4 linked regions of the Saccharomyces cerevisiae S288C genome follow. The protein of the gene in region 1 interacts with the protein of each later gene in a pairwise test. Each region holds a gene or a part of one and is shown in the gene's direction. Other genes may lie near its edges. The genes, in order: MYO5, SAP1, UBP7 and BNR1.

The links.
Region 2: the proteins of MYO5 (region 1) and SAP1 interact in binary tests that used the Saccharomyces cerevisiae proteins (3 or more experiments, as listed by UniProt).
Region 3: the proteins of MYO5 (region 1) and UBP7 interact in binary tests that used the Saccharomyces cerevisiae proteins (3 or more experiments, as listed by UniProt).
Region 4: the proteins of MYO5 (region 1) and BNR1 interact in binary tests that used the Saccharomyces cerevisiae proteins (3 or more experiments, as listed by UniProt).

The regions. Positions count from the first base shown.
Region 1 is NC_001145.3:484,857-490,808, forward strand, and holds MYO5 (myosin 5), read left to right. Parts: upstream 1-1,730; coding exon 1,731-5,390; downstream 5,391-5,952. Other genes in the region: ILV2 (acetolactate synthase catalytic subunit), read left to right, coding at 1-1,291; HFD1 (hexadecenal dehydrogenase), read right to left, coding at 5,538-5,952. UniProt on the Saccharomyces cerevisiae protein: One of two redundant type-I myosins implicated in the organization of the actin cytoskeleton. Required for proper actin cytoskeleton polarization and for the internalization step in endocytosis.
Region 2 is NC_001137.3:243,266-248,140, reverse strand, and holds SAP1 (putative AAA family ATPase SAP1), read left to right. Parts: upstream 1-1,637; coding exon 1,638-4,331; downstream 4,332-4,875. Other genes in the region: CAJ1 (Caj1p), read left to right, coding at 1-1,159; SPO73 (Spo73p), read right to left, coding at 4,530-4,875.
Region 3 is NC_001141.2:46,169-51,806, forward strand, and holds UBP7 (ubiquitin-specific protease UBP7), read left to right. Parts: upstream 1-1,922; coding exon 1,923-5,138; downstream 5,139-5,638. Other genes in the region: AIM20 (Aim20p), read left to right, coding at 33-647; COA1 (Coa1p), read right to left, coding at 781-1,374; ATG44 (mitofissin), read left to right, coding at 1,522-1,530, 1,593-1,805; GUT2 (glycerol-3-phosphate dehydrogenase), read right to left, coding at 5,591-5,638. UniProt on the Saccharomyces cerevisiae protein: Involved in the sorting of ubiquitinated cargo proteins at the multivesicular body (MVB).
Region 4 is NC_001141.2:40,079-46,452, forward strand, and holds BNR1 (formin BNR1), read left to right. Parts: upstream 1-1,746; coding exon 1,747-5,874; downstream 5,875-6,374. Other genes in the region: SMU2 (Smu2p), read left to right, coding at 1-62; POT1 (acetyl-CoA C-acyltransferase), read right to left, coding at 113-1,366; AIM20 (Aim20p), read left to right, coding at 6,123-6,374. UniProt on the Saccharomyces cerevisiae protein: May organize microtubules by mediating spindle positioning and movement in the budding process. Potential target of the RHO family members.

The DNA.
Region 1 (5,952 bases):
AAGAAATCCAATTCCAACAAAAACAACTCTTCCATCAAACGCACTAAACCAATTAACCAGTCGCGCACAAGATGAATTTGTCATGCAAAGTATCAATAAAGCAGCAGATTTGATCAACTTGGCAAAGAAACCTGTCTTATACGTCGGTGCTGGTATTTTAAACCATGCAGATGGTCCAAGATTACTAAAAGAATTAAGTGACCGTGCTCAAATACCTGTCACCACTACTTTACAAGGTTTAGGTTCATTCGACCAAGAAGATCCAAAATCATTGGATATGCTTGGTATGCACGGTTGTGCTACTGCCAACCTGGCAGTGCAAAATGCCGACTTGATAATTGCAGTTGGTGCTAGATTCGACGACCGTGTCACTGGTAATATTTCTAAATTCGCTCCAGAAGCTCGTCGTGCAGCTGCCGAGGGTAGAGGTGGTATTATTCATTTCGAGGTTAGTCCAAAAAACATAAACAAGGTTGTTCAAACTCAAATAGCAGTGGAAGGTGATGCTACGACCAATCTGGGCAAAATGATGTCAAAGATTTTCCCAGTTAAGGAGAGGTCTGAATGGTTTGCTCAAATAAATAAATGGAAGAAGGAATACCCATACGCTTATATGGAGGAGACTCCAGGATCTAAAATTAAACCACAGACGGTTATAAAGAAACTATCCAAGGTTGCCAACGACACAGGAAGACATGTCATTGTTACAACGGGTGTGGGGCAACATCAAATGTGGGCTGCTCAACACTGGACATGGAGAAATCCACATACTTTCATCACATCAGGTGGTTTAGGTACGATGGGTTACGGTCTCCCTGCCGCCATCGGTGCTCAAGTTGCAAAGCCAGAATCTTTGGTTATTGACATTGATGGTGACGCATCCTTTAACATGACTCTAACGGAATTGAGTTCTGCCGTTCAAGCTGGTACTCCAGTGAAGATTTTGATTTTGAACAATGAAGAGCAAGGTATGGTTACTCAATGGCAATCCCTGTTCTACGAACATCGTTATTCCCACACACATCAATTGAACCCTGATTTCATAAAACTAGCGGAGGCTATGGGTTTAAAAGGTTTAAGAGTCAAGAAGCAAGAGGAATTGGACGCTAAGTTGAAAGAATTCGTTTCTACCAAGGGCCCAGTTTTGCTTGAAGTGGAAGTTGATAAAAAAGTTCCTGTTTTGCCAATGGTGGCAGGTGGTAGCGGTCTAGACGAGTTCATAAATTTTGACCCAGAAGTTGAAAGACAACAGACTGAATTACGTCATAAGCGTACAGGCGGTAAGCACTGAATTTCAAAAACATTTATTTCAAAAGCATTTTCAGTAAAAAATGCAGACTTTATTATTATTTAATCGTGCTTCTTATATATGACATTCTACCAAATCGGTAGTCATGTATATTTTTTTCGTATATACTTTATATATTTTTTTCTAAAAAACTAATGACGGCTAAAATTAAGTCATAGATGAATAATAAGTTCAATTCAAGTGAGTTGGTAGTATTTGATAAATCTAAAGTGGATACGTAGCATATGTATTCAAATGGTGTGTTTTAACTCGTCGGACACGACTTCTTTCTCGTTTTGTCAATCATCAAAAATATTTCTCGAAAAGGGGCCGTCAAAAATTGCAAGCTTGGAAAATACAAACTGGACTATGTATTTAAAGGTTATAGTTTATAATAAAGCATAAGAACAGTGGCCAATACGAATTTAACCGCTTTATAGAAATGGCTATCTTAAAAAGAGGAGCTAGAAAAAAGGTACATCAGGAGCCAGCTAAACGCTCTGCGAATATCAAGAAAGCTACTTTTGATTCCTCGAAGAAGAAAGAAGTTGGTGTGTCTGATCTGACGCTTCTTTCTAAAATCTCCGACGAAGCCATAAATGAAAACTTGAAGAAGAGATTTTTGAATGCTACAATCTACACTTATATAGGTCATGTGTTAATTAGTGTCAATCCATTCCGAGACCTCGGAATCTATACTGATGCTGTTATGAATGAATACAAAGGTAAGAATAGATTGGAAGTTCCACCCCATGTATTTGCAATTGCAGAGTCTATGTACTACAACATGAAATCATATAATGAAAATCAGTGTGTTATTATTTCAGGTGAATCAGGTGCCGGTAAAACTGAAGCAGCTAAAAGAATTATGCAATATATTGCGGCTGCTTCTAGCACACATACGGAGTCAATTGGAAAGATTAAAGACATGGTTTTAGCCACTAATCCATTGTTGGAATCTTTTGGCTGTGCAAAGACTCTAAGAAATAACAACTCTTCTAGACATGGGAAATATCTAGAAATAAAATTCAATAACCAGTTTGAACCATGTGCTGGTAATATCACAAACTATTTATTGGAGAAGCAGAGAGTTGTGAGTCAAATTAAGAATGAAAGAAATTTCCATATATTCTATCAGTTCACGAAAGGTGCTTCCGATGCTTATAGGCAAACATTTGGGGTCCAAAAACCGGAACAATATGTGTACACAGCTGCTGCGGGTTGCATATCTGCTGAGACAATTGATGATTTGCAAGATTATCAAGAGACATTAAAAGCTATGAGAGTTATTGGTCTCGGTCAAGAAGAACAAGACCAAATTTTCAGGATGTTAGCTGCAATTCTTTGGATTGGTAATGTTTCCTTTATAGAAAATGAGGAGGGGAATGCGCAAGTTAGGGACACCTCAGTAACCGATTTTGTTGCTTACTTGTTACAAATAGATAGCCAATTGCTGATTAAATCACTTGTGGAAAGAATTATGGAAACCAATCATGGTATGAAAAGAGGGTCAGTGTATCATGTTCCATTGAATATTGTCCAAGCAGATGCGGTTAGAGATGCTTTGGCAAAGGCTATTTACAATAACTTATTTGACTGGATTGTGAGTAGGGTTAACAAATCTCTGCAGGCTTTTCCAGGCGCTGAAAAATCCATTGGTATTCTTGATATTTACGGCTTTGAAATTTTTGAACATAACTCTTTTGAGCAGATTTGTATCAATTATGTTAATGAAAAGTTACAACAAATCTTTATTCAATTGACATTGAAATCTGAGCAAGAAACTTACGAGAGAGAAAAAATCCAATGGACCCCAATTAAATACTTTGATAACAAGGTTGTGTGTGATTTGATTGAGGCAAGAAGACCACCTGGTATATTTGCAGCAATGAATGATTCTGTTGCAACTGCACACGCGGATTCAAATGCTGCTGATCAGGCTTTTGCTCAGCGTTTGAACTTGTTCACAACAAATCCACATTTTGACTTGAGATCTAACAAGTTTGTTATTAAGCATTATGCCGGTGATGTCACATACGATATTGACGGTATTACAGATAAAAATAAGGATCAATTACAAAAGGATCTGGTAGAATTAATTGGTACCACTACCAATACATTTTTAGCCACCATTTTCCCGGATACTGTAGACAGAGAATCAAAAAGAAGGCCACCTACAGCAGGCGACAAAATTATAAAGAGTGCAAATGATTTGGTTGAAACTTTATCAAAAGCACAACCTTCATATATCAGAACAATTAAACCAAACGAAACCAAATCTCCTAACGATTATGACGATCGGCAAGTTCTACACCAGATTAAGTATCTAGGTCTGCAAGAAAACGTGCGTATCAGAAGAGCAGGTTTTGCATATAGACAAGTGTTTGAGAAGTTCGTGGAAAGATTTTATTTATTATCTCCACACTGTTCTTACGCTGGTGACTATACATGGCAAGGTGATACCTTAGATGCTGTTAAGTATATATTGCAAGATTCCTCTATCCCACAGCAGGAGTACCAATTGGGTGTCACAAGTGTTTTCATCAAAACACCTGAAACATTATTTGCTTTGGAGCATATGAGAGATAGATACTGGCACAATATGGCTGCCAGAATCCAACGTGCTTGGAGGAGATTTTTGCAAAGAAGAATTGATGCGGCCACTAAGATCCAGCGCACCATCAGGGAGAGGAAGGAAGGTAATAAGTATGAGAAGCTCCGGGATTATGGTACGAAGGTTTTGGGTGGAAGAAAAGAAAGAAGGTCTATGTCCTTATTAGGTTACAGAGCCTTCATGGGTGATTATCTATCATGCAACGAGTCCAAATCGAAGGGCGCTTATATCAAAAGACAAGTGAGCATTAAAGAGAAGGTCATCTTTTCCATACATGGTGAGGCCTTGCATACAAAATTTGGCCGTTCTGCACAAAGATTGAAAAAAACTTTCCTATTAACTCCAACTACATTGTACATTGTTGGTCAGACTTTGGTCCAAAATGCTATGACCTATACTCAGGATTATAAAATCGATGTGCGAAACATTCAAGCGGTTAGTTTAACCAATTTACAGGATGATTGGGTCGCCATTAAGTTGGCTAGCTCAGGTCAACCTGACCCCTTAATCAACACATATTTCAAAACAGAACTCATAACGCATCTGAAAAGGCTTAACGACAAAATTCAAATTAAAATAGGCTCGGCGATAGAGTACCAAAAGAAACCTGGAAAGTTGCATTCAGTGAAATGTCAAATCAATGAATCTGCACCAAAATATGGCGACATATATAAATCCAGTACAATATCAGTTCGTCGTGGTAACCCACCTAATTCTCAAGTGCACAAAAAACCGAGAAAAAAGAGTTCAATCTCTTCAGGATATCATGCTAGTTCCTCGCAAGCAACGAGGAGGCCAGTTTCGATTGCTGCAGCCCAGCATGTTCCCACCGCCCCGGCTTCTAGGCATTCTAAAAAGCCTGCCCCTCCACCACCAGGAATGCAGAACAAAGCTGCTACAAGAAGATCTGTTCCTAATCCTGCTTCCACTCTCACTGCATCCCAAAGTAATGCCCGTCCTTCTCCCCCTACTGCTGCCACTCGTGCTACACCCGCTGCTACACCCGCTGCTGCCGCAATGGGCTCTGGTAGACAGGCAAATATCCCTCCACCACCTCCTCCACCCCCACCCTCTTCAAAGCCAAAAGAACCCATGTTTGAAGCGGCTTACGATTTTCCTGGTTCAGGATCACCATCTGAGTTACCTTTAAAGAAAGGAGACGTAATTTACATTACAAGAGAAGAACCAAGCGGTTGGTCTCTCGGGAAACTTCTGGATGGCTCTAAGGAAGGTTGGGTGCCAACAGCTTACATGAAACCACATTCCGGAAATAATAATATCCCTACTCCTCCTCAAAACAGGGATGTTCCTAAACCCGTTCTGAATTCTGTACAACATGATAACACCTCTGCAAACGTTATTCCAGCTGCAGCCCAAGCAAGTTTGGGTGATGGTTTGGCGAATGCGCTTGCTGCTAGGGCCAATAAAATGAGATTAGAGAGTGATGACGAGGAGGCTAACGAAGATGAAGAGGAAGATGATTGGTAATCAAAATGTATTTAGCGAGTATATACTCTATACGAGCAAATAGAGTAAATTGTAATTAATAAATATTGATATATTATCGCCCATATGAAATTTTTAAACGAAAGGTTACTTATACATCAAATAATTAATTAACCTTAAACATTACGTTCAGGAAGAACAATGAGCGTAAATGGTACTAATTAAAATAACGGCGGCAGATAATGAAAAATATTGGCGTAACCCCCACTTGTTATTGCCATTTCTGTCAAACCAAGGTTTTCTTTCCATCGCAAAACGGACGAGCTTTTCCTTTTGTGCGCTATTTGGAGGGTATCTCATAAAAAGGGTAAAATCATTCCAATATGGTTGTTTAAAAATTGTTCTTTCATGACTAAAGGTATTGAATCCATAATATCCACCATAGTTACCATAACCTGAAGTACCGATCCCTCCAAATGGAGCGTCGGTAATTCCTACATGAATCACTGTATCACCGACAACACAGTCACCAGATCTTAAGCGCGTCAAGATACGATTTATTTCAGTTTGGCTATCAGAGAATATGTATTGCACCAATGGAGTG
Region 2 (4,875 bases), on another chromosome or scaffold:
GTATTATGATATTTTGGGCATCAAGCCTGAGGCCACGCCCACTGAAATCAAAAAGGCCTATCGTAGAAAGGCTATGGAAACACATCCGGACAAGCATCCTGATGACCCAGATGCTCAAGCAAAGTTTCAAGCCGTAGGCGAGGCCTACCAAGTCTTAAGTGATCCAGGGCTTCGTTCCAAGTATGACCAGTTTGGTAAGGAGGATGCTGTTCCTCAGCAAGGATTTGAAGATGCTTCTGAATACTTTACAGCAATATTCGGTGGTGATGGCTTCAAAGATTGGATTGGAGAATTTTCTTTGTTCAAAGAGCTAAACGAGGCAACAGAAATGTTTGGAAAGGAAGATGAGGAGGGTACAGCAGCCACTGAAACCGAAAAAGCAGATGAGAGCACTGATGGTGGAATGGTTAAGCATGACACTAATAAAGCTGAATCTTTGAAAAAAGATAAATTATCGAAGGAGCAAAGAGAGAAGCTAATGGAAATGGAGAAAAAAAGACGGGAAGATATGATGAAACAAGTCGACGAGTTGGCAGAAAAACTGAACGAAAAAATCTCTAGGTACTTAATTGCTGTGAAGTCCAATAACTTGGAGGAATTTACGCGAAAACTAGATCAAGAAATCGAGGATTTGAAATTAGAAAGTTTTGGTCTAGAGTTATTGTATTTATTGGCCAGGGTTTACAAGACAAAAGCGAATAATTTTATCATGTCCAAGAAGACTTACGGAATTTCTAAAATATTCACTGGTACACGCGACAATGCTAGATCTGTTAAATCAGCATACAATTTATTGTCTACAGGCTTAGAAGCTCAAAAAGCCATGGAAAAAATGAGTGAAGTCAATACTGACGAACTAGACCAATATGAACGTGCCAAATTTGAGTCCACAATGGCTGGTAAGGCACTTGGTGTCATGTGGGCTATGTCGAAATTTGAACTGGAAAGAAAACTAAAAGACGTTTGCAATAAGATTCTAAACGATAAAAAGGTCCCTTCCAAGGAACGTATTGCAAAGGCAAAAGCAATGCTGTTTATTGCCCACAAGTTTGCCAGTGCTAGAAGGTCACCAGAAGAAGCTGAAGAAGCTAGAGTTTTTGAAGAGCTAATCCTAGGTGAGCAGGAGAAGGAACACAAAAAACATACTGTGGCCAGATAAGCTCAGCAAGTTAATAACGCCTCATGTATATTTTTCATATATAGCGCAATCAATTACAAAGCGAAGAAAAAAAACCCTATGTATTCTAGACATATCACAGGCATACGGGTTTTCTCACACCAACCTTTCAAGTCTTCAGCACTTATGTTTTAACTTATTTTCTATTATTCAGTATATATATGGAATTAACACTGGCAACCCAAGCATCTTAGCCGAGATTCGCGGAGAAAATTGAAATCAAGAATAATAAAAATTCTTGATTCACGGTCATAAGAGGCTGAAGCAACAGCAACCGGCTCCCCAAGAACTACAATACGCGTCCGATATACTTTCTTATCAAATATATTGGTAATAATAAAGGCTGCAGTTCTTTTTTTAATATAGTCTTTTTACATTTATTGCAGCTAACAAACGCAATTTTTCTTTCCCTTTCACTCGTGCGGTTTTACCAGGATTGATTATATCGCACTGTGACACTATGGATTCACAAAGAAGCCATCATATTTTAACGAGATTAACCAAGATACGGAGAAGACCTCAACAACCGTTAACCGACTTTACAGAACTTTACAGTAGAATTGCCAATGAGACAATATATTACTTGAACCTAGAAGAGAAAAAACGATATAAAGAAGCATTGCAAGGATGGAAAGCGCTTACCACTGATGTACTATTCAAACAGACATTGATAGAGCATAACTACCCAAATACTCAATCATACACGAAAGATGAAGTTAGTTTACAGAACGGTATTCGAGAATTGTACCACAAGAGCGTTATGCATTTGAAAAGAGTCAAAAAATTGGTCCGAGAAGAGCCTGCTCCCAGGAATGATATGCCGTCATCCAAAACATACACTAATCATAGCTCATCTTTCACAAGGTCTACTGAACCACCTCCTGTATTCCAAATGGTTCCCGGAAGAATGATGAAAACATTAAGAAATAGAAATGCATGCGGCTATAAAACCGCATACTCCAACCCCTCACTATCATCATATGGTAACAGCACATCGATAAAACGCGGAGAAGATGCGGAGAACATTAGAGTAAATTTTGTACCTTCTAAGCCTTTATCCAACAATGCAAGCAGACAGCACAAGAACCCTATTGAGCACAATGATCCTCCACTTAAGAAGGAAACTGAACTGTACTCAGATAAATATATCTCAGAGCCAATATTGATAGATTTGACTAATGACGAGGATGATCACGATGTCGGCATTTTAAAAGGACACAACGTTTTTGATGAAGAAGAAAGTGATGGTTTCGAGTTTGATGTGTCCGATTACTATGATAATTTCTCCGAAGTCGACGTAGAAGAAGAAGAAGAAGAAAAAGAGGAAAGACGACGTATAAAAACGTTAGAAGCAATTCAACAGCAAATGTCTGACTTGTCTGTTACTTCTTCTACGTCCAGTAATAAGAGTGTAAGTTCTTCAGAAAATGTTCCCGGATCATGCATACAGTCCCTGCCGACTACCGCCCCTGCTCTTCCTTCATTACCTCCACCTCCTTTATTAAATGTCGATAGAGCGTCCAGCACTGGCGCTCTAAAGCCACATAGTTTAGAAACTTCTACTACTATGGATTCATCAAAGATTAGGAATCCTCAAATATCAAAATTAATGAAGAATAATCACGTACCATACTTAAAGGGTACCAAATCAACGCCCACTCTTATCACTAAATCAACGCCAACATTTATTACAAGATCAAAAAGTAATACAAAACCAATCATCAAATCCAATGCATCGTCTCCGACCTCTTCTCTGACTGTTCCAAATTCAGTAATTCAAAAACCCAAAACGGCTGCAATGGCTGCTAAGAGAGTTCTGAACAGCAAAAAGGTTGCGAGTAACCCCGCATTAAACACTACGAAGAAGAGTCACCCCATTTTGAAATCCAAAACGGCGAAAGTCCCAAATTCCAGTTCGAAGAAAACGAGTAGCCATCCTTCCAGACCTGTAAGTAACTCAAAACCATACTCGCATGGTGCATCCCAGAATAAGAAGCCATCGAAAAATCAAACCACGTCTATGAGTAAAACGAATCGAAAAATACCAGCACAAAAAAAAATCGGTTCTCCAAAAATAGAAGATGTTGGAACAGAAGATGCCACTGAACATGCCACTTCCCTAAATGAGCAAAGAGAAGAGCCTGAAATAGACAAGAAAGTCCTGAGGGAGATTTTAGAAGATGAAATTATTGATAGTTTACAAGGTGTAGATAGGCAAGCTGCAAAGCAAATTTTTGCCGAAATCGTAGTGCACGGAGATGAAGTTCATTGGGATGATATTGCTGGTTTAGAAAGTGCAAAATATTCTTTGAAGGAAGCAGTTGTCTATCCGTTTTTGAGACCAGACTTATTCAGGGGGTTACGTGAACCAGTCAGGGGGATGCTCTTATTTGGACCACCAGGTACAGGTAAAACAATGCTAGCGAGAGCTGTAGCTACAGAGTCGCACTCCACCTTTTTCTCTATTAGTGCTTCCAGTTTGACATCTAAATACTTGGGTGAAAGTGAAAAATTAGTGAGGGCACTATTTGCAATTGCCAAAAAATTGTCACCTTCTATAATATTTGTTGATGAAATTGACTCTATCATGGGTAGTAGGAATAACGAAAATGAAAATGAGTCAAGCCGAAGGATAAAGAATGAATTTCTTGTTCAGTGGTCATCCTTGTCCAGCGCAGCGGCTGGTTCAAACAAAAGTAACACTAACAATTCTGACACCAATGGCGACGAAGATGATACAAGGGTACTGGTACTTGCCGCGACAAACTTACCATGGTCTATTGATGAGGCTGCAAGGAGAAGATTTGTGAGAAGACAATATATCCCATTACCAGAGGACCAGACCAGACACGTTCAATTTAAGAAGCTTCTTTCCCATCAAAAGCACACGTTAACCGAATCAGATTTTGATGAACTGGTAAAGATTACTGAGGGCTATTCAGGAAGTGATATAACGTCTTTAGCGAAGGATGCTGCCATGGGCCCACTACGAGATCTGGGTGATAAGTTATTAGAAACAGAGAGGGAGATGATAAGACCCATAGGCCTTGTGGATTTTAAGAACAGTTTAGTGTATATCAAGCCCTCTGTATCCCAGGACGGATTAGTGAAGTACGAAAAGTGGGCTTCACAATTCGGATCATCAGGTTCATGATGATGATAATAATAATAATAATATAATAATAATGGTAATAATAAATAATATTCTAGCCTAGCTGGACAAACTGTGTGCACATAAGCGGATCGATAAAATATGTTCTGCATAATGTCACCTTTTCTTTTTTTTTTTTTTTTTTTTCTTTTTTTTGACTACTTAGTTTGTTAAACAATTTAATATTAGCGTAAACTATTACTAATCTAATCCATGACTGGTCGTAGGTAGTCTTACCCAGACCCTTCTTCTCACCAAGCCATTTTTCGATTTCCACCTAGAGTTATTGAAATTCCAGCTATAACACCATCCTTGATCGTCAATATCGTACTTTTCCTTGTAATCCATCAGTACGAACCACTTTGTCATCTGTGAACTGCTACTGCCTGCAGTGCGTTCAGTACTCAGATCGATAGGATACAGTTCTATGAAGTTCGATATAGTATTTTTCGACAGGGCAATTAACGAGCCATTTTCAGTGTTTAGTCTTTGAAATTGTGGTGGGTCAACGTGAGGCAGTAAAATCTTGGGAGAAAATAGTGGGTAA
Region 3 (5,638 bases), on another chromosome or scaffold:
TTTCAATCATCAAAACAGACTATTGAATAAAGATGGGCAATGTGTCTGTGGCAGTGGGAACGGCAGTTGGGATTCCAATTGCTGTGGGCGTAATAATAGCCCTGATATTTTGGTGTAAATTACAACGACGTTACAAAAAAGAAGAGATTAGAGATGCTGATTTGGAGAAGATGGTAATGGAAGAAGTGGCAGTGTCGGTATATGATGGTTTTAAAGCCGAAATTAACAGCTCAAGTGAAGCTTCCACGATAAACGAAAAGGAAGCAAACCAGGATCTTAAACCCTGCCAAGAAAAAACCGCCAAGGCAGGGTACACACCAGCATACAGAAGGCAATTGAACGCTAGTATGGGGACTTTGCGTCCAAAAAAGCAGAGCACTGCATATACCAATGTCCCCGTCATTTTCAGCGGCGAAAAGGTGAATTATGGGATGGTCAGAGATCCTTCCTATAGTTTTATGTATCCACTGACGCTATCGCGCAAAGAAACGAGTAGTTTGAGATCAGCTTCTACGTCAAACTTGTCATCGAGCACAGAAAATACTGCGTTACACGAAGAAATAAAACTGGATGACCCATATGAAAACGATTTTACGAATTATACTGTCAACAAGAGAGAATTTATTGACAGCTTACGGCCACACTAATATATATGCATATAGATATATAAACGTACCTACATAGTTTTGCATTTGTATAGATACCCAGACCACTTGTAATAACGATAAAAATAAAATAATAATAAAGGATATTTACAGACAAATAGCACCATACTTGCTATTAAATTGGTGTCTTGGTATTTTCAGCTAGCAAATCGATCTTTTGGCCAGCGGCAGTGACGCTCCATTCATGAATCAAAAACTCTTCGTCGTGAGTGTTCCTATCGGCAACCAGTCTAACGGTTCCAGTAACGTTTTTGTCCCCCTTGATATAAAACGTAATGTTAATCCTACCCTTCACAGAGTTCAGTTCACCGTAGACCCAAGGGATGATACCATCAAATTCTATGCTCTCACCCAGTATGTTTTTAGTTGCTGGAGACCGTCTTATATAATACAGCGTGTTGGAGATAATGGGGGACTCCGTCTTTTCATAGTTGAAGATCAAAGATAGTGCGGACCCAATGGCCACAGAAAACAACAAAAATCCAGCTATTCGCTTTCTCCTCTCCGTGGTTGGGTCAGGCAATTCTCTGTCAATTCTCAATGGCCTGTTCTTGTCTTTCAAAACGATCTTGGCCTCATCTTCAGCGACACTATTATTGAATCTAGCGCTGGTAGAGAATGAGTGCAGCAAGGAACCACGCACTAGCACAGCCTTAGCTGCAGAAGGTGTCACTTTCGGCAACCCTTTAGTTACTAGTCTTAACATCATGTATAGTCTGTTTTATCTTTTACTTTTATGTCGTGGACTGGTACGGAGAGAAAGATCGAACTGTTTTAAAACTGGGATTAAAATGACAAGAAGGCGCTTTCTTTCTCTCCACAATGATCAAAACAAGAACAAGCAAAACGCAAAGAGATGACATTAGTAAGTACCCAAATGAGCTACTAACAACGCATCCGGTAATACTAACAAGAGAAATTGGTTAGGTAGGGAAACTAGTACACATATCCATAGATTTGGTCTTGGTATCAACGTGCCTCGCGGGGATTAAACGCAATACAGGTTTGACGCCTAAACTGGAGACTCTGGACAATCAGACTATGAGAAACTACATGAAGCGGTACTTGAACTTGGGAGAGTCTGTATACGACTATTCTGTTGCCACTTGTGGCTCCTCGACGTATTTCGCTAGGAAATAGGTACGTTTATATTCTATATATGTTGATAATATTTTGTATAACGGCACCCAGCCGGGGGCCAAAATTAATAACCGCAACTTAAAGAGCTATCGCTATCGATTACGCATAGAACTTTAAATGCTAGACGATGATAAGGGCACGGCCATGCATCCACATATAACGCCGTTCACGCCTGAGTACTCAAATGAATTACTGCGAAGGGTCCAGGACCTGTACCACGAAGATATCAAGCACTACTATCCGCAGCTAAAACTGGAGAAGCTGCTGGACCTTCTGGAGCATACAGAGTACCTATTCGAGTTATATCTAGATTCAATCCATCACGATAGGCCCAACGATGCACTGACAGCGTTTATCATTGGATGCTACTACGTGTTCTTAATTATTCCACAATCTTTGCAGTTCCAAACACGAAACAAGTCCTACAGCATCTATACAGATCTAAAAAAGATGTATGAGAATGAAATGAACATGACCAATGTTGTGCTTATGGTGAAGAAAGAAATCGGTGTGGTCCTAGATGAATCGGTTAAACACGGGGCCGGTATTGAGCACAGAATCACCAAGAAGAGGGCATTTTCAGTTCCAGCTGACGATCTTTCAGGTCAGGTAGCTTCACTATCACTTGACACCGCGGCACCGCAAGATCATGGCCTCAAAGGCACGTTTACTGAAGACGACGCAGAACAATCTTCACCTGTTTGGACAGCACCAAACTTAGAGCCCAACGACCAATTGAAACTGGCTTTATTGCCCGAAGTGATACCAACGCCAGCTTTTCGTGAGCCTGAAAGAAAGACAAGTGTTCCAGTGAGACCATCTGTTTTATTGGAAGATGTACCCTCCATATACCACGAGGATGACACTAGTTTCGCATCTTTGAACCCACCATTTCGAGAAATAACCGCAGATAGATCAGTAACTCATCGAAAGGATTCTTACCATTCTGTTTATATGGTGGATAGCGGCAACCTCAAGGAAGACAATGATGATCTGTTCAACGTTGAGAATGATGGCTTCATCCAGAGTTTGGATATTTTACAAAAGCAGAGTATAATCACAGCACCAGAATTGTTTAGTATTTTATCGAATCGCGTTGAACGTGAAAAGGTTTTACTCATCGACTTGAGAATACCACAAAGATCTGCAATAAATCACATTGTGGCTCCGAACTTAGTGAATGTGGATCCAAACTTGTTGTGGGACAAGCAGACGAACACACCTATCTACAAGGATGACATATTGGAACATTTACTGAAGGAGAATGAGAATTTTATAAACCGTAATAAATTTGATTACATTGTTTACTATACTGATGTGAAGACCTTCATGACTATAAATTTTGATTATGCATTTATTTTTTTTTATTTGATGCTGACTTCTCAGAAGACTCCTTTAACAACTGTACCTACTACCCTCTTAGGTGGGTACGAAAAATGGAAGAAAACTCTGCATTCGTATGCCCAGGAGTATCATATCTCTATTGAAGATTACTTGTACAGACCTTACTCACAGAAGGCGCGCTTACAACAGGAGCAGCAGCAGCAGCAGCAGCAGCCGGATTCTCAGGACTCTTTTTCCGCTAAGGAATCATCTACAAAAGTTCCTGAGCCTCCCTCCTGGAAGCCCCCTGACCTGCCTATAAGGTTAAGGAAACGTCCTCCACCTCCACCGCCTGTATCAATGCCCACAACCCCAGAAATTCCACCTCCTCTGCCCCCTAAGATAATGGTTCATTCACAAGTCAGTTCTATCTCTCGAAAGCCGCCAATACCAGCAAAGCAGCATGTCAAAAAGGAACAACTTAACTCCAATGAAATTATTCAAAGAAAAAGACAGCACCAGCATCAGCATTACGACCAACAAATATTACAACCGCAAAGGGCGTACAATATTCCAACTATTGAACGCAGTCCAAACGTATACGTTTCGTTGTCCATCACGGGACTAAGAAATTTGGGCAATACATGTTACATTAATAGTATGATACAATGTCTATTCGCTGCGAAAACATTCCGGACACTCTTCATTTCATCCAAATATAAGAGCTATCTGCAACCAATAAGGAGCAACGGATCTCATTATTCTCCTAAACTTTCGAATTCACTAAGTATGCTCTTCAACAAGATGTATCTAAATGGTGGTTGCTCAGTTGTCCCAACAGGATTTCTCAAAGTTATCAATCAATTGCGTCCCGATTTGAAAATTCCTGATGACCAACAGGATACCCAAGAGTTCCTAATGATACTTTTAGACAGGTTACACGATGAACTTTCCGACCAACAGCATGTAGCGAACGATTATCCGAATTTATTATTGTATAATGCAGATGCCCTAAAGGTTTCAAACAACGAATATAAGCACTGGTTTGACAAAAATGTCATTGGTAATGGTATATCTCCTATTGATGACATTTTTCAAGGGCAAATGGAGAACAGCTTACAATGTAAAAGGTGCGGTTACACTACTTTCAACTATAGCACATTTTATGTTTTATCACTGGCTATACCAAGACGTTCCATGAAGTTGAGTAAACTTGGTAGGTCTACTGAGAAAAGAGTTAAGTTAGAGGATTGTATTAATATGTTTACAAGCGATGAGGTACTCTCTGGTGAAAATGCATGGGATTGCCCACGCTGTGGCCCCACGGCGTCTGTGTCTACATCTGTGTCTGCATTAGAGAATGAGCCATCCATTGTTAAGAGTAAAAAGAAAAAAAGTCGGTTTTTTACATTACATACAGGAACCAAGCGTCGTCATCTCGACTTTTTTGGAGACGGTATTACTGAGGGCCATAATAGCAATAATAATAATACGACAATCTTTGAACGAGAAAGGTCCAGATCACCCTTCAGGATGTTGGGTGGTAGTGGGAAGAGGTCCAGTTCCAGTACACCGTTCAGTACTGGTGGTAATGATAGTAACAACTCGAGTGATTACAAGAACAAAAAATTGACAACAGTGAAAACGATAAATTTTGTAACTTTACCAAAAATCTTAGTCATCCATTTATCGAGATTTTATTACGATTTGACCAAGAAAAATAACACCGTCGTAACATATCCATTGATACTAAACATTATATTGAAAAACAATGACACTATGAAATATAAGCTATTTGGAGTGGTTAACCATACAGGCACATTAATCAGTGGCCATTACACGTCACTGGTGAATAAAGACCTTGAACACAATGTGAATATTGGGCGTTCTAAATGGTACTATTTCGACGATGAGGTTGTCAAGGCAGATAGGAAACATGGATCTGATAAAAACTTGAAAATTTCAAGTAGCGATGTCTACGTATTGTTTTATGAAAGGGTTTATGACTAGCAAAATTTTGCATTTTTTTTTTTGCACCATAAATATGTATTGCGTATGCACCAGGACGTTGAAGAATATTATTTAGTGTTTCTATATTTTATGATAAAACTAGAGATAAAGGGGATAATTAAAACGATATTAAAACGGAAGTCTACACAATGATTATATAGATTATATTATGTATTGGAAATAGAATATAAACACTAGGAAGGTCATAATTTGAAGATCAATTGTAGTAGTAGAGTCTATTACCTCTTTTTTTTTTTTTCTTCATATATTTTTGTAGTTTTTTTAGTTTACTTTAACTCTTCCATTAAGGAAAATAGGTAATAATAGCGATTTCATTGCCATTACCACCATTATTATTATTGTTATTACTATCATTATTATTATTATCATCATTACCATTATTATTACTCTTGTGAATGTTATCTTTGTCACCCTTAACTATCATGATCGATTTAGACACCAAACGTCTTGATGAAGTTCACAGTTTTTTCAAGTTCCCA
Region 4 (6,374 bases), on another chromosome or scaffold:
TGAAAATGGAAAATTATAAACAAATTGATAAACTACGTAATAGCTTTTACAAAACCATATAAATATGAGCATAATAAAAAGGGAGAATATTAACTATTATCAAGTATTAAAACTATTCTTTAATAAAGATGGCGGCGGCACCCATACCAGTACCGATACACATACTAACAACCCCGATTTGATCCTTTTTCAGTTCTCTTAGTATGGTAGCTACTTGCCTTGCGCCAGTACAACCCAAGGGATGGCCTAACGCGATTGCACCACCTCTTGGATTTACTTTATTCAAATCGATGCCCAGTTTATGGATGCAGTATAATGCTTGGGCCGCGAATGCTTCATTTATTTCAAAAATATCGATATCTTGGACTTGCAAGCCAGTAGCTTCCAGGACTTTTGGTATGGCGTATGCAGGGCCCACACCCATGATTTCAGGGGGAACCCCCACTGTTTGAAAATCGATGTAGCGACCTAGCACAGGCAGATTTAACTGGTTGGCTACGGACCTGCGGGCTAACAAGACACCTGCCACACCATCGGAGACCTGGGATGCATTGCCCGCAGTTGTGGTTCCTCTGTCTTTGATAAAGGCAGGCCTGATGCTTGAAAGCGACTCCGCAGTGACGTTAGGGCGTGGCCCTTCGTCCGACTGGCAAATTGAGCCATCTGGTAATTTTATAGGTAAAATTTCATCTTCGAAAAGCCCCTCATTTTTCGCCTTGTAAGCTTTTTGATATGAATTCGCAGCGAACTCGTCTTGATCCTTTCTACTGATCTTGAAATTAGCGGCAACATTCTCATTAGTAATGCCCATTGGTATTAGACATTTCTTCGCTTCTCGGTTTTTTTGCAGCTCTTCAGAGGAGATCATGCCCAAGGGATTGACGTTTTTGTAGTTATTGGTCATTGATTCCACTCCCAGCGCCAAACCAATATCAATTTGCCCAACCTTAATCTTGTTGGCAATATCGTTCACCGCCGTTAAACCTGAAGAACATTGTCTGTTTAAAGCGACAAATGGCGTCGAGTAGGGAATCCCACTTGCCAAGCATGCAGCCCTGTGTTCTGTAGCACCGGCTCCAACATTGAGAACATTTCCACAGGCAACTTCTTCGATTAAGTTCAAATCAGCCCTCAAAGGTTCCGGAAACCTCCCGATGAACTCATTGAGAAAGTTGTATAATAAGTAGTCTGTGTTTACATCTTTGAAGGCACCTTTAAAACCTTTACCGATGGCAGACCTGTTAGCAGCCACAATAACTACATCTTCGGGTCTTTTCTCCAGCAACGAGTTCTTCCTCTTCGATTCACCCTTACCCATGGCGCTCTCCACCAAATGATCCTTGATACTTTGTAGTCTTTGAGACATTGCTTTTATGTAGTGTTATATTCACTCTGTACTCAGAGCCACAAGAAATAACCATTCGATTTCAATAGAACTGAGATGCAAAAGTATACCCTATTTATATCTCTTCTTTCTAGTAAAACTCCAATAAATTTGAAACCAATAGAGGGAGAAAGGAAAAAAAAGCTGCGGTGTTAATACTATTATCCCCGTTTCCCTTTGATAGCGCCTTACACGGCGCTACCACATCATTACCCTCCTCATGTTGACGCGTCAAGTTTTTTTTCTTTTTTCGCTATTTGTGGCATAGGTTCAAAACTAGCAAATTCTTGATCTTTTGAAGATTACATAGTGATGATGATCGTGACACAAAAGCAGATAAAAAAATAGCACAATCATCAGCGATGGACTCTTCCCCGAACAAGAAGACGTACCGCTACCCTCGCAGATCGCTGTCACTTCACGCGCGTGATAGGGTCAGCGAAGCCCGTAAATTGGAAGAATTGAATTTGAACGATGGGCTGGTTGCCGCTGGCTTGCAGTTGGTCGGTGTAGCGTTAGAGAAACAAGGTACAGGATCACATATATACATGAAACAGAAGAATTTCTCAGCTAATGACGTTTCTTCGTCACCAATGGTTTCCGAAGAAGTGAACGGATCGGAAATGGATTTTAATCCGAAGTGCATGCCTCAGGACGCATCACTCGTCGAAAGAATGTTTGATGAGCTTTTAAAAGATGGAACTTTTTTTTGGGGGGCTGCTTATAAGAATTTACAAAACATCTCTCTACGAAGGAAATGGTTATTGATATGTAAAATCCGTAGTTCCAATCATTGGGGGAAAAAGAAAGTGACTTCGAGCACGACATACTCTACACATTTGGCCACTAATGAACTAGCTGAAAACGCACACTTTTTGGATGGCCTAGTTAGAAACCTTTCAACAGGTGGCATGAAGTTATCGAAGGCTCTATATAAACTAGAAAAATTCCTGCGAAAGCAAAGCTTTTTGCAACTTTTTCTCAAGGATGAAATTTACTTGACGACATTGATCGAAAAGACTTTGCCACTCATATCCAAGGAATTACAATTTGTTTATCTTCGGTGCTTTAAAATACTGATGAACAACCCACTGGCGAGAATAAGAGCACTACATTCTGAGCCTTTAATTCGCTGGTTCACCGAGCTTCTGACGGATCAAAATTCTAATTTGAAATGTCAGTTACTTTCTATGGAGTTACTTTTATTATTAACGTATGTTGAGGGTTCCACGGGTTGTGAGTTGATATGGGACCAGCTTTCCATATTATTCACCGATTGGCTAGAATGGTTTGACAAAATCCTTGCGGATGATATTGCAATTCATTCATCCCTTTATTTGAACTGGAACCAATTAAAAATAGACTATTCGACAACTTTCCTACTGCTAATAAACTCCATACTGCAAGGTTTCAACAACAAGACTGCACTAGAAATTTTGAATTTTTTGAAAAAGAATAATATACATAACACTATCACATTTTTAGAACTGGCCTATAAAGATGATCCTAATAGTGTCGTGATCATGGAACAAATAAAACAATTCAAATCCAAAGAATCTGCGATATTTGACTCGATGATAAAAACTACCAACGATACGAATTCGCTTCACCCAACAAAAGATATCGCAAGAATAGAAAGCGAGCCTCTATGTCTTGAAAATTGCCTGTTATTGAAGGCAAAAGATAGTCCCGTAGAGGCACCAATAAACGAGATTATTCAATCGCTGTGGAAAATCTTAGACTCTCAAAAACCATACTCAGAATCTATTAAACTATTAAAATTGATAAATTCTTTGCTGTTTTATCTCATAGATTCCTTTCAAGTGTCAACGAATCCTTCTTTTGATGAAACCTTGGAGTCCGCAGAAAATGTGGATTATGTTTTTCAAGATTCTGTTAATAAATTGTTGGATTCTCTACAATCTGATGAAATTGCTAGAAGAGCGGTCACAGAAATTGATGATCTTAATGCTAAGATTTCTCATTTGAATGAAAAATTAAATTTAGTAGAAAATCATGATAAAGATCATTTAATAGCAAAACTAGATGAAAGTGAATCTTTGATATCTCTGAAAACCAAGGAAATTGAAAATCTGAAACTGCAGTTGAAGGCAACCAAGAAAAGACTAGACCAAATTACCACGCATCAAAGGTTATATGACCAGCCACCTTCATTGGCAAGTAGCAACTTGAGTATTGCCGGCTCGATAATAAAAAATAATAGTCATGGAAATATCATTTTCCAAAATTTAGCAAAAAAGCAACAGCAGCAGCAAAAAATTTCTCTGCCCAAGCGTTCAACTAGTCTACTAAAAAGTAAAAGAGTTACGTCCCTTTCATCATATTTAACTGATGCAAATAACGAAAATGAGTCCCAAAATGAATCCGAAGATAAATCAAAAGACTCATTATTTCAAAGATCTACGTCAACCATTAATTTTAATATCCCTTCTATGAAAAATATTACTAATATGCAAAATGTCTCTCTAAATTCGATACTTTCAGAGTTGGAATTTTCAAATAGCCTAGGAACACAACCTAATTACCAATCGTCTCCCGTGTTGTCTTCGGTTTCTTCTTCACCAAAACTTTTCCCTCGACTTTCCTCAGATAGTCTTGATAATGGAATCCAACTAGTACCTGAAGTTGTTAAACTACCTCAACTTCCACCGCCCCCTCCTCCACCTCCCCCTCCTCCACTTCCACAGTCTCTTTTGACTGAAGCAGAAGCTAAACCGGATGGTGTTTCCTGTATTGCAGCACCTGCACCGCCACCCCTTCCAGATCTATTTAAAACTAAAACTTGTGGCGCCGTTCCACCACCACCACCGCCACCGCCTTTACCCGAGTCCTTGTCGATGAACAAAGGCCCCTCCAATCACGATTTAGTTACTCCTCCAGCTCCACCTTTACCAAATGGTCTTCTTTCTTCCTCCTCAGTGTCTATCAATCCAACGACAACCGATTTAAAACCACCTCCAACTGAAAAGCGATTGAAGCAAATCCACTGGGATAAGGTGGAGGATATCAAAGACACACTTTGGGAAGACACGTTTCAACGCCAAGAAACAATCAAAGAATTACAAACTGATGGTATATTCTCTCAGATTGAAGATATTTTTAAGATGAAAAGTCCGACTAAGATTGCAAATAAAAGGAACGCAGAATCCTCAATTGCCTTGTCTTCAAACAATGGCAAGTCTTCCAATGAGCTGAAGAAAATTTCATTCTTATCAAGAGATTTGGCTCAGCAATTTGGTATTAATTTACACATGTTTTCCCAATTATCTGATATGGAATTTGTTATGAAAGTATTGAACTGTGATAACGACATTGTCCAAAATGTTAACATACTGAAATTTTTTTGTAAAGAAGAGTTAGTAAATATACCAAAAAGTATGCTTAATAAGTACGAGCCATATTCACAGGGTAAGGATGGTAAAGCAGTAAGTGACTTACAAAGAGCTGACAGAATATTTTTGGAGTTGTGTATCAATTTAAGATTTTATTGGAATGCAAGATCAAAGAGTCTGCTGACATTGTCAACATACGAGAGAGATTATTACGATTTGATTTTCAAGTTACAAAAAATTGATGATGCAATTTCACACTTAAATCGTTCACCTAAATTTAAAAGTTTGATGTTTATTATCACGGAAATAGGCAATCATATGAATAAAAGAATTGTTAAGGGTATCAAATTGAAGTCATTGACTAAACTTGCCTTTGTCAGATCCAGTATTGATCAAAATGTATCATTTTTGCATTTTATTGAAAAAGTCATAAGAATAAAATATCCTGATATATACGGTTTTGTGGATGATTTGAAGAACATTGAAGATTTAGGTAAAATCTCACTAGAACACGTTGAATCAGAGTGTCATGAATTTCATAAAAAAATTGAGGATTTAGTTACTCAGTTTCAAGTAGGAAAGCTATCCAAAGAGGAGAACTTAGACCCCAGAGATCAAATTATTAAAAAGGTCAAGTTTAAGATTAATCGGGCCAAAACAAAAAGTGAATTATTGATTGGTCAATGTAAATTAACTTTAATAGATTTGAATAAACTGATGAAATATTACGGTGAAGATCCCAAAGATAAAGAGAGTAAAAACGAATTTTTCCAACCCTTTATTGAATTTTTAGCCATGTTTAAGAAATGTGCCAAGGAAAACATTGAAAAGGAGGAAATGGAAAGAGTGTACGAACAAAGGAAGAGCTTGTTAGATATGAGGACAAGCAGTAATAAGAAAAGCAATGGAAGTGATGAAAACGATGGTGAAAAAGTAAACAGGGATGCTGTTGATCTACTCATATCTAAATTACGCGAAGTAAAGAAGGATCCAGAACCTCTAAGAAGAAGAAAGAGTACAAAACTCAATGAAATAGCCATTAACGTACATGAAGGAGATGTAAAAACGAGAAAGGATGAAGATCACGTTTTACTAGAGAGAACGCATGCTATGCTGAACGATATTCAAAATATATAGTGAAGACTTAGTATTTTATGTAGTTGTGGAGCTTATATAAAGAAATGGACAATATTCGCAATCGCTTCTCAAAAGGGAAATATTTTCCCTTTTCGGGCGGTGGTCGTGTTGACAAATTTCCTAGTTAAGAACTAAGATTTGGAGATGGACAGATTCATTAATAAATTTCAAAATAAGCACAGAAAGCATCGAATTTTTAGCTCAAAACAATCTACTTTTCAATCATCAAAACAGACTATTGAATAAAGATGGGCAATGTGTCTGTGGCAGTGGGAACGGCAGTTGGGATTCCAATTGCTGTGGGCGTAATAATAGCCCTGATATTTTGGTGTAAATTACAACGACGTTACAAAAAAGAAGAGATTAGAGATGCTGATTTGGAGAAGATGGTAATGGAAGAAGTGGCAGTGTCGGTATATGATGGTTTTAAAGCCGAAATTAACAGCTCAAGTGAAGCTTCCACGATAAACGAAAAGGAAGCAAACCAGGATCTTAAACCC